Linked DNA regions of Macaca fascicularis. The protein of the gene in region 2 binds, or shares a complex with, the protein of the main gene of each other region. Links are inferred from orthologs where the notes say so. Each region holds a gene or a part of one and is shown on either strand. Other genes may lie near its edges. The genes, in order: ASB7 and LZTS1.

Evidence for each region.
Region 1: the proteins of LZTS1 (region 2) and ASB7 are in contact, whole or in part, in a crystal structure (PDB 8Y1U), measured with the Homo sapiens proteins. The link is inferred for Macaca fascicularis from reciprocal best matches to the Homo sapiens genes LZTS1 and ASB7. Residues at the interface, in NP_001349813.1 of Homo sapiens: Arg346, Glu348, Leu349, Leu352, Met353, Glu355, Gln356, Leu358, Leu359, Glu360, Lys362, Leu363, Arg364, Ser365, Tyr366; in NP_937886.1 of Homo sapiens: Asn46, Trp48, Ala56, Ile79, Phe82, Tyr87, Met90, His91, Asp116, Trp118, Val123, His126, Tyr127, Ser147, Lys149, Thr151, Gln155, Leu156, Ile159, Arg160, Phe182, Arg185, Tyr186, Ile189, Lys190, Arg210, Leu220, Leu223.

Annotation. Positions count from the first base shown.
Region 1 is NC_088381.1:85,656,080-85,660,416, reverse strand, and holds the start of ASB7 (ankyrin repeat and SOCS box protein 7), read right to left. Parts: upstream 2,917-4,337; 5' UTR 2,476-2,916; intron 2,294-2,475; 5' UTR 2,195-2,293; intron 1-2,194. UniProt on the Homo sapiens protein: Probable substrate-recognition component of a SCF-like ECS (Elongin-Cullin-SOCS-box protein) E3 ubiquitin-protein ligase complex which mediates the ubiquitination and subsequent proteasomal degradation of target proteins.
Region 2 is NC_088382.1:23,355,057-23,359,445, reverse strand, and holds the start of LZTS1 (leucine zipper putative tumor suppressor 1), read left to right. Parts: upstream 1-1,432; 5' UTR 1,433-1,657; intron 1,658-4,389. UniProt on the Homo sapiens protein: Involved in the regulation of cell growth. May stabilize the active CDC2-cyclin B1 complex and thereby contribute to the regulation of the cell cycle and the prevention of uncontrolled cell proliferation. May act as a tumor suppressor.

The DNA.
Region 1 (4,337 bases), on a different chromosome or scaffold from region 2:
GTATGCGTCACAGTATTAAATAATTGTAAATGACATCACTTTATGTGTAAAGAATGTAAGTACTGGCCACAGTATACTAAAGATGCATCGTTGTATATCTTCAATTAAAATCAATTATTCGCACTACATGATTATAAATCTATATTTGGTGACCAAATAAATTGGACTTTTTTAAAGCCACATGATTGGCAATAGAATTAATACAAAGCTAACTGCCAGGTTAAAAAATGTAAGCTACCTAACTAGCCATGTTGGTAAATAAATACCCAAATTAAATATTCTAAATGTCTGGTATAATCTAGACAAAACTCTCTCAATCATTCTGATATTAGAAACATGACAGATGTTGACAATTTATATATATTCCCTAATCTTAGAAAAACCATTAAAAGATGAGATGATCCAATACTATTTAAGCAATGAGAATGAACTGGCTGAGAGTCAGAGTAAAGCCCTCTCCTCTCTTACCTTATATACTGGAATAGCCACAGACTCCCTCCCTTACCATCTCAGGTGAAACTACTTCTTAGAAATGAAAGCATCCTAGAGTTAAATCTAAAGCTGAAAAAATATTTAACTGAGAGGCTTGAATACAAAACACAGTACTTCATTTTGATCTTTAAAACATGCTTCAAATATTTTAGCATTTTTTAAAAGTTCTGAAGTAATCATTAGGCCATCTCCCTGGCAACTTCCATACTTACATAATAAAAATTAGCCTTTAAAGATTTCTGCTTAGCTTTTACTGAAATGACATAGTCAAGTACTCCTGATTCCCCACATATACATACAAAAGCTGCCCTAAGTATTCATCAGGGAACAGTCATTGGTAGATACTGATTCTAAATCCTATTCCCTAGAATCTCTTCTTTTAGCATGCAGTTCCATGTCTCAAGAATATGTATACCGCAGATCCCCTTAAAAACGTCTTTAGCTATGTCTTGAGAATTAACAGAATCAGTAAAGATGCTAATTTCTTTTTGTGGAAGGCAGAAAGTCCAGTGGAACATAGGAAATCAAAAATATTAACTTCTGCTATTTTAAGTACTTCCTTGTAACAAAAATTCCCTAAACAATCTGGGATATTAAAATAACTCAGATTAACAAGTCACTTTATACTTTTGCTACTGGACGTTAGAAAAGTCATTCATTTGGCTAATTTTGGAATTAAACCTTGTATAATTTTCATGCTTATATCCCCTTTTTAGGAATTACACTAATGTCCTAAGTTTACTTTCAGTGCATATTCAGAAGCAACAACAAAATATGGCAGAAGAAATGTGATCACATGAATTGGATGCCTAAATTTCAATCTAGCAAACTCTATGTAAAGGTTTTAGAAAGAGAAATCTTTTTTATAGAGTGCTAAAATTAAGACCCAGATATGTAAACACACCAAAAGGTTCCTTTGTTTTTAAAATCCTGAGTCAAATGATTAATAAGATATTGTGTAAATTTTTAAAAGCTCTTCTAGAAAATCTGAGGTGTAACAAACATTGTTTGTATCTTTATAAGTTTCAAAGCCCATCCACATTTGTCACACACAAACACACAGAAAGCCCAAAGAGTTAATTACGCCTAAGTGCTTCAGGGTAATAATGTTGCCTTCATACCATTCACACTCTTAAGGTACACAGGTTGGCTTTCTAGTAGGAAATAAAATCAAATTATTTTCTGAAACTCATAAATCTCAGGCCAATAATTTACCTTTCTCTACCAAATCGATGTCAGTTCGATAACTCAAAAGATTTTTCTGATGCTGGTAGAAGAAAGGTGATAGGAAAGAATAAGGGGGAAAACAGTAAATTGTGGTTTAATTAAAAACGAAAGTGGTTCAGAATTAACAAGCAATTAACAAGGAATTGAGGAATTCCTATGAGAGTAAGGAAGGGAGGGTAGCTACAAAAAGGTCTCAAAGCCTCAGAGCAGAGTAAATGGCACAGTGTACCAAAAGATAATGAAAAACACAGAAACACACTGTACAGAGAGAAAGTGGGAAAATACGTTCCTGAGTAGAGAAGTTATAAAATGTTAAGGATCAGGCACGGGTAATGTTTTTATTTTTCCTGGGAAACTGGGGGTGGGGGGGCTAGAAAAGGTTGCATTCCCAGGCAACCACCCTGAAAATAAACCACTGCTTAATGAGGTAGGGGCCAGGAATAAACAGTGGGGGAGGGGAGGGCTGGCTCATTACCTTTATAGACGATGCTGGTCAGAGGCACTGTGCCTTCTGCTTCTCTGATAGGTGGGCAGACCCGTTCCTGCTTTCGCGTCCTCTTCAGCCAGCTCAAACCTAGAAAAACAGAAACCAGTGAGTGGTGTAGTGCCTCAGGGGTGAGGAGGAGGGGGCTCTGAAGAAGGGGGAACTCAGGAAAGGGGCTGGAGAGTGGCAAGAGCAGGCAAGAAAAAGCAGAGATTTTCCTCCCTCCTTCCTCAGCCAGCCCTCTTCCCTTCGGGAGAGGTAAAGGACTTTACCTGTCTCCTCAGCTGCTGCTTCTCTTCCTCCTTTCAGCCTCCTCTACACTCACCAACTTCTCCATAGAAGAAATACCCCAGGCAGGGCCGGACCCTGGCGTTCCTGAACCTCCTCGGTGCCTCACGGCCCCAGCCCGGCGAGCATCCGAACAGACGAGCAGGCAGGAGGTGGCGATCCCGGCCGCCGGGCAGCCTTGGGGCAGGGGTGCAGGGAGGCAGGGAGGAAGTCCCGGCTCGGGTGGGGGGGCAGTCCCGGTCCAGGGCTCGGAGCAGGGGGCTGCCGCGCTCCGGGCCGGAGGCTTCCAGCTACGGAAGGACCCAGGAGGTCTCGGGACGGCGAGGTCCCAGGTCATACGGGGCCCGAAGTGCCAGTCGTGGGGTCTCCGGACAGGGGGCTTTCGAGATGCACTTTGCACTGGGCCACCCCCGCCCCCTCCCTCCAGCACTTTGGGGTCACTGGGATGGGACCAAGCCTTCAGCAACCAATCAGCGGCCGCAGTGGAGCCTGAGCCTGGAGCCGTAAACCAGGTCCGGGATGGGTGGGGGTGGGGGGAGTGGGGGCGACTTGGTTGGTTGCTTGCTTCCTTCTCTCCTCCTTACCCCCAGCAGCCCCCACCCTCTGCCTGCCGTAAAGTTGCCTCTGCATTCGCGACAGTTAAGGGAGGCGTGCCGAACGAAGCAGAGATTCGTCTCCGATTGGTCTCACTCACTTCCCCCTACAGCTTCCCCGTGGTGGCTTCCGAGGCTCCGCCCCTGGCGGAGGGACTCAAAGCCGTTGCTAAGAGACACTATACGCCGAACGCGGGCTCTGCGCATGCGGCGGGAGGGGCCAGCTTGTACTTTCTGTGAACTACGGTGGCCCAGAGGGAGCATTTGTGTTCCCTCGAATGGCGGTGTGAAGAGTGTTCGCCTGAGCCAGATCCCAAGCAGGTAACCGGGAGCGGCCGCTGAGCTGGCAGCAGGGGAGGCACGAGTGCGGCCAAATGAGGGACTGGTTCAGGGCTTAAGGCTGGGAGGGCGGCAGGCTCCAGGAAGCAAACAAAGGGGTGCCCTGTCTCTCCGCCCCTGTTCAACGCTTCTCAGACGCAAGTACCCGGTCTTGGCGCGGCTGTTGGTCCCTGAGACCCCGGTAGCTTCCAGGCTGCCAATGCCTCCCCTAGAGTGGGAGAAGGGCCTGTCTTTGGGATGGCGATGCCGGGCCAAGGACTTTCCTGAAAGGATAGCAACGTTGGCGGGTTCCTGTGAATGAATGGAGAGGGGGCGTGGAGAAAATGCGAGATAAACTGATCAAGGCATGTTTATTAAGCACTTTATATTCATCTAGCAAGTGTTTACTGGCCACAGTTCTAGTCCTTGGGGAGACAACAGTGAACAAGATAGTGATTTCGGGGAGACATACACAAAATTATCAGATAGGGATGGGTTATATGAGGAAAATCAAGCAGAATGGTGGGATCGATTTTGACCAGGACGTGATGGGCTATATTAGATAGGTAGTGCTATGGTGTGAATATCTGTCCGCTCCATAACTCATGTTGAAATTTAATCCCCAATGTGGCAGTACTGAGAGGTAGAGTCTTTAAGATGTGGTTGGATCTTGAGGGTTCTGTCTTCATGAGTGGATTAATCTATTCATGGGTTAATGGGTTATCATGGAGGTAGAACTGGTGGCTTTTTAAGGAGAGACTTGACAACACGTGAGCCTGCTCAGCCCCCTGACCACGTGATACTTAGCAGCGCTGCCTCCTGACACCAGATGTGGTCCGTCAGTCTTAGACTTCCCAGCCTCCAAAACTGTAGACAATAAATTACTTTTCTTTATAAATTACCTAGTTTTAGAAATCATTTTATAAGCAGAAGGA
Region 2 (4,389 bases):
CGAAGGCAGTGAGGTTCCCCTACAGGGTTTTGAGCAGGGAGCAGGGGTGTGACAGAAACCAGATGGCTTGTTTTCCTTTGAGCTGTCTCCCCACCCCCCACCATTCTATTTAATTATTTTATTTTATTTTATTTTATTTTGAGACAAGGTCTCACTCTGTCACCCAGGCTGGAGTTCAGTGGCGCTTTGGCTCACTGCAACCTCTGCCTTCCAGGCTCAAGCAATTCCCAAGCCTCAGCCTCCCAAGTAGCTGGGATTACAGGCTCCCGCCACCACACCCAGCTAATTTTTGTATTATTATTATTTTCTTTTTTAGTAGAGACGGAGTTTCACCATGTTGGCCAGGCTGGTCTCGAACTCCTGACTGAAGTGATCCACCCGCCTGGGCCTCCCAAAGTGCTGGGATTACAGGCATGAGCCACCTCATCCAGCCCCCATGCTATTTATAATCAGAGATTGGTCATGTCAATCCTAATCCATTACATCTAATCCCTTTCCCACCTCCCCCCACACACGCTTTTTTCAAGGTGAGGCTGACACTCCTTGGGCAGAGCTGCCACCTTCCCATCAAGCCTGGTTTTAGCGGATTAGCCTCAGTGCACCCTCAAGTCCCCAAGCCTCAGGCAGCACCTGGCACTTCGGTTAACTGACCCTTTGTCCTACAAAACCCTGTAAGTTTGTATCCTCTCCTGGCTCAATTGCTACAAGTTAAAAGCGAGGGTGGCAGAGAAAATGATAGTGTTAGAAGGGCACTGGGTGAGATTAACAGCTATAAACTTGAAACAGGCCTCTGCTTTCACCTGAAACTCAGCTCTCTCAGAGTTGGAAAAGTTTGCCTTTGCAATGTTTTGGGAGTGGGAGTCTCGATGCTCTGGACTCGAGTCTGTAATCCCGGTGTGGTGTGCAATGCCCCTCACTTGGGTGCTAGTCCAGTCCTTGAACAAAACACACGCCCTTTAGTGCGAGTCGGGAGTGGGAGAGACGGTATTAGGAAAAAGAAACTGGCGAGTAAGAGGAAGGGGTAATGAAGAATGGGGAACATACAGAGAACGAGAGACGGAATGGATTAAAAAAAAAAAACTGGAGTAAGAATTTCAGGTAATGAAAGGGAAAAAAGGATGCGTAAAGAGCAAGACAGGAACAATCGGAGAAAGGGGGCCAGGCAAGAAAGGAAGACCGAGGGGGCAGGGTCGCCCGAAGGGGCTGATGGAAGTGAGAGCAGAGAGACCGGACCGGGGACCCCGCGCAGGCCGCGGGCGCCAAGGAGCAGCGAGGTCGCCGGCAGCCCCAGCTGTCAGCCCGGAACAAAGGCCGCCGAGCGGCACAAACCGGCTGCCGGCAGCTCGCTGCCAATCAGCGGTGCCGGCGCTGGCCCCGCCCCGGGCCGGCCCCGCCCCTCCCCGCCCCGCCCCGCCCAGGCTCCGGGACCCGCGCAGAGGCCGGCGCGCCTGGAGCTGGCGGGTTGGCAGCGGCCGGGCGGGGAGGCCGAAAGTTTCTCTGCCTGCCTCGGCCGGCGAGTAGGAGCCGGGAGCTGCATCCCGCGCGGTGGGACCGGCCCGGCCCGCTCAGCAGCTCTGGAAAAAGAGAGACGAGAACACACCGGGAAACACTGGGAAAAAAAAAAAAATCTCAAGTGCGCCCGAGGCGCAGGGGGCAGGTAAGATGCGGTGGCCGGGGGTCTCCCCGCCCCTGGAGGGTCTGCTGCCCTGGCTGAGGGAAAACTAGCTCCCCGTGCCGGGCTGGCCCGTCCGTGCGTCCGCGCGTCCGTCCGTCTTTGTCTGTCTGTGTCCGTGGCTGTCGAGGTGTCTTTGTCTCCGCGTGGAGCTGTCAGGGTCTCCCCTCTGCAGGGTGGGCGCCGCTGCTCCGGCCCGGCCCGGAGGAGATGACTGAAGGTGCGTCCGTCCTCCTGTCTTTGTCTCCGTGTCTCCTGCAGACGGGGCTCGTCTATTTCCAGCCCCGATGCTGATCCTGGCGGGGACGTCAGTGTTAGGTGACACTGGTGTCGGAGGTGAAGAAGTGGGACGTGGGGACGCGAGGCCGCAGGAGCAGGGGCCGCAGGAAGAAGGTCCGGCGGTCGCGCCGGGCCGCTGAACTTCGATGCCTGGAACTTTGCGGATAAGCTGTGTCCACACCGGTGGGGAGGACATCGGTGCGATGCAGCGAGATATTTCAAAGGTTTACCTCAAGGAATAAGTCATACGGGGGGAGACGGTTAGAGAGGACGGTGGTATATCGGAGTGTCTAAGTGGTTCCCTGGGGCTACAGGTTCCTGGGGTCGGTCCTGGGTGTGCAATTCAGGAATTTAGTCAAAGCACCACGCACACACAGAGCACCACACTAACTTCACTTCTTCCACCGCCACCCTAGGCAGCCAGACCTCACCCCTCCTCCCTGCTACAGGCTTTGCTCTGGCTGGAGAGGCTTCAGAGGTCGCAGCTCGGCAGCAACAGGCACCCCCGAGACACCAAGGGCCAGGTGATGTTTCTCTTTCCTGCTCCAAGTGGAAAGGTTTGAACTGTGGAGCAAATGAGTGTTGTGCTCGCCCACGAGTATGTCAGGCCTGGGAAAGTGCTCCAGACTTGTTAGCTTCGCAGTCCTCAATTTCCCAGGAATGAGAAGTGCTTAGGGATCTGGCCTCCTAAAGCGTTTCCTGTCTGGCTTATTCCCTCCACACCGTCCCGCTGCCGTCAGTCTCTCTGCTCTCTGGTCCTGGGCGCTGGGAAACTACTAAGGAGGCACTGAGTTCTGGACCGTGCTGGGCAGGCGCTGCTCCTAATAAGGATCCCACACTCTGCTGGAAGTGCAGCCTAATAGGAGTGCTGGGAGCCCAGGAGCCCAGCCACAAAGAGATGAGCTATCTGCTTGGCAGTTCCTGCACCAAGACCCTGAGAAGAGTCTGCGGGCAAGAGGGTGTTTGTAACCTGAGCTTTCTCTAAGTTCAAAAACAATTTTCAGCAGGCATCCAGAGGGAGTATGGAGGTGTCTGAAGAGTGTGCGCATATGGGTATTAGAGATAGCATTTACAGAGGGGAAAGGTGTTTATGTTTAAGAGTGGAATGGAACATAGTCTGTGGGTAGGAGTCTGCGGGCAGAGAGCATACAGGCTAATCAGGCGTGGCGTTACACCTTGTATTTATCCAGCGCTTTTCTTTGGAGGCGCTTTCTGCTCATCATAGACGTTATCTCATATGTTATCTCCTTTATCCTCACAACATAACTACCAGGTTGGCCCGGTGGGCTCTCTGTGCCTGCCAGTGAAGAAGCGGAGGCATCAGAAGGGAAAGGCATTCCCTGAGGTCCTACAGCTAATGGGAGGGAGCAACTGGGAGTCCTAGTAAGAGGTCTCAGCTGGGTGGATGTGAGTGTGCGGCGCTCAATCTGCTTAAGAAGAGAAGAAAACTAGTAGAAAAAGAAAGGGCATCTCTGTGGGTGTCTATATGCAAGCAAAAGGGAGGATGGGACATTTGATGTGCTGAAGATGGTTGTTATTTAACATTTATAGCAGCGACTGTGTGTTTCACGAAGTAAACCTGTCTCAGCAATTCAGCTTGTCTGCAGGAAGTGCCCCCAACTGTGTGTGCCTGGGTCGATGTGGGACAGGGGTGCTATCAGAGAAGGAGTGCTGCTGTGTGGGGTGTGCTGGGGAAAGCCAGTGCTTTGGGAGTGTGTGAGGGAAAGATGTGCCATTCAGTTTTGAGAAGCCGTGGGTCAGCGTGTATAGCAAAGCTATACATGGGCTCCAGACGTACATAAATGGCTTTCTAATCCTGAAAACTTATTTATATGCCTTGCGCTTATTCAACATTCATTTCATAAATATTCATTGGGTGCCTACCAAATGCAGGGCTCTGGGCTAGGCAGTGAGGCTAGGAAGATGAATAATGTAATGATGACAAACCTATATGGGTAAGCACCTTATAGACTAGTGTAATGGATAATAGCGTAACACTTAATACCAACCACTAAATACACTGTGTGCCCGGGACTTTTTATTCATTATCTCATTTAATTTTCACTGCAGCCCTGCAGGGTATGTATAATTATCAGATGAGGAGAGTTAGGTAATTTAGCCAGGCTACAAAACCGAGGGGCAGGGATTTGAGATCAGCTTAGTAAGGTTCTGGACCCTGGCTCTGTCCATGTTATTCTGTTACCTTTGAACATAGGAACACTGTTTCTTCTACGTAAAATATTCCTGCCTGGTCTCTCTACCTTCTCCACTTAACTGGCTCCCAATTTCTTGCTCAGTCACCCAGGCTGGAGTGAAGTGGTGCGATCTTGGCTCACTGCAACCTCCACCTGTCGGGTTCAAGCAATTCTCCTGCCTCAGCCTCCCAAGTAGCTGGGACTAGAGGCACCTGCCACCACACCTGGGTAATTTTTTGTATT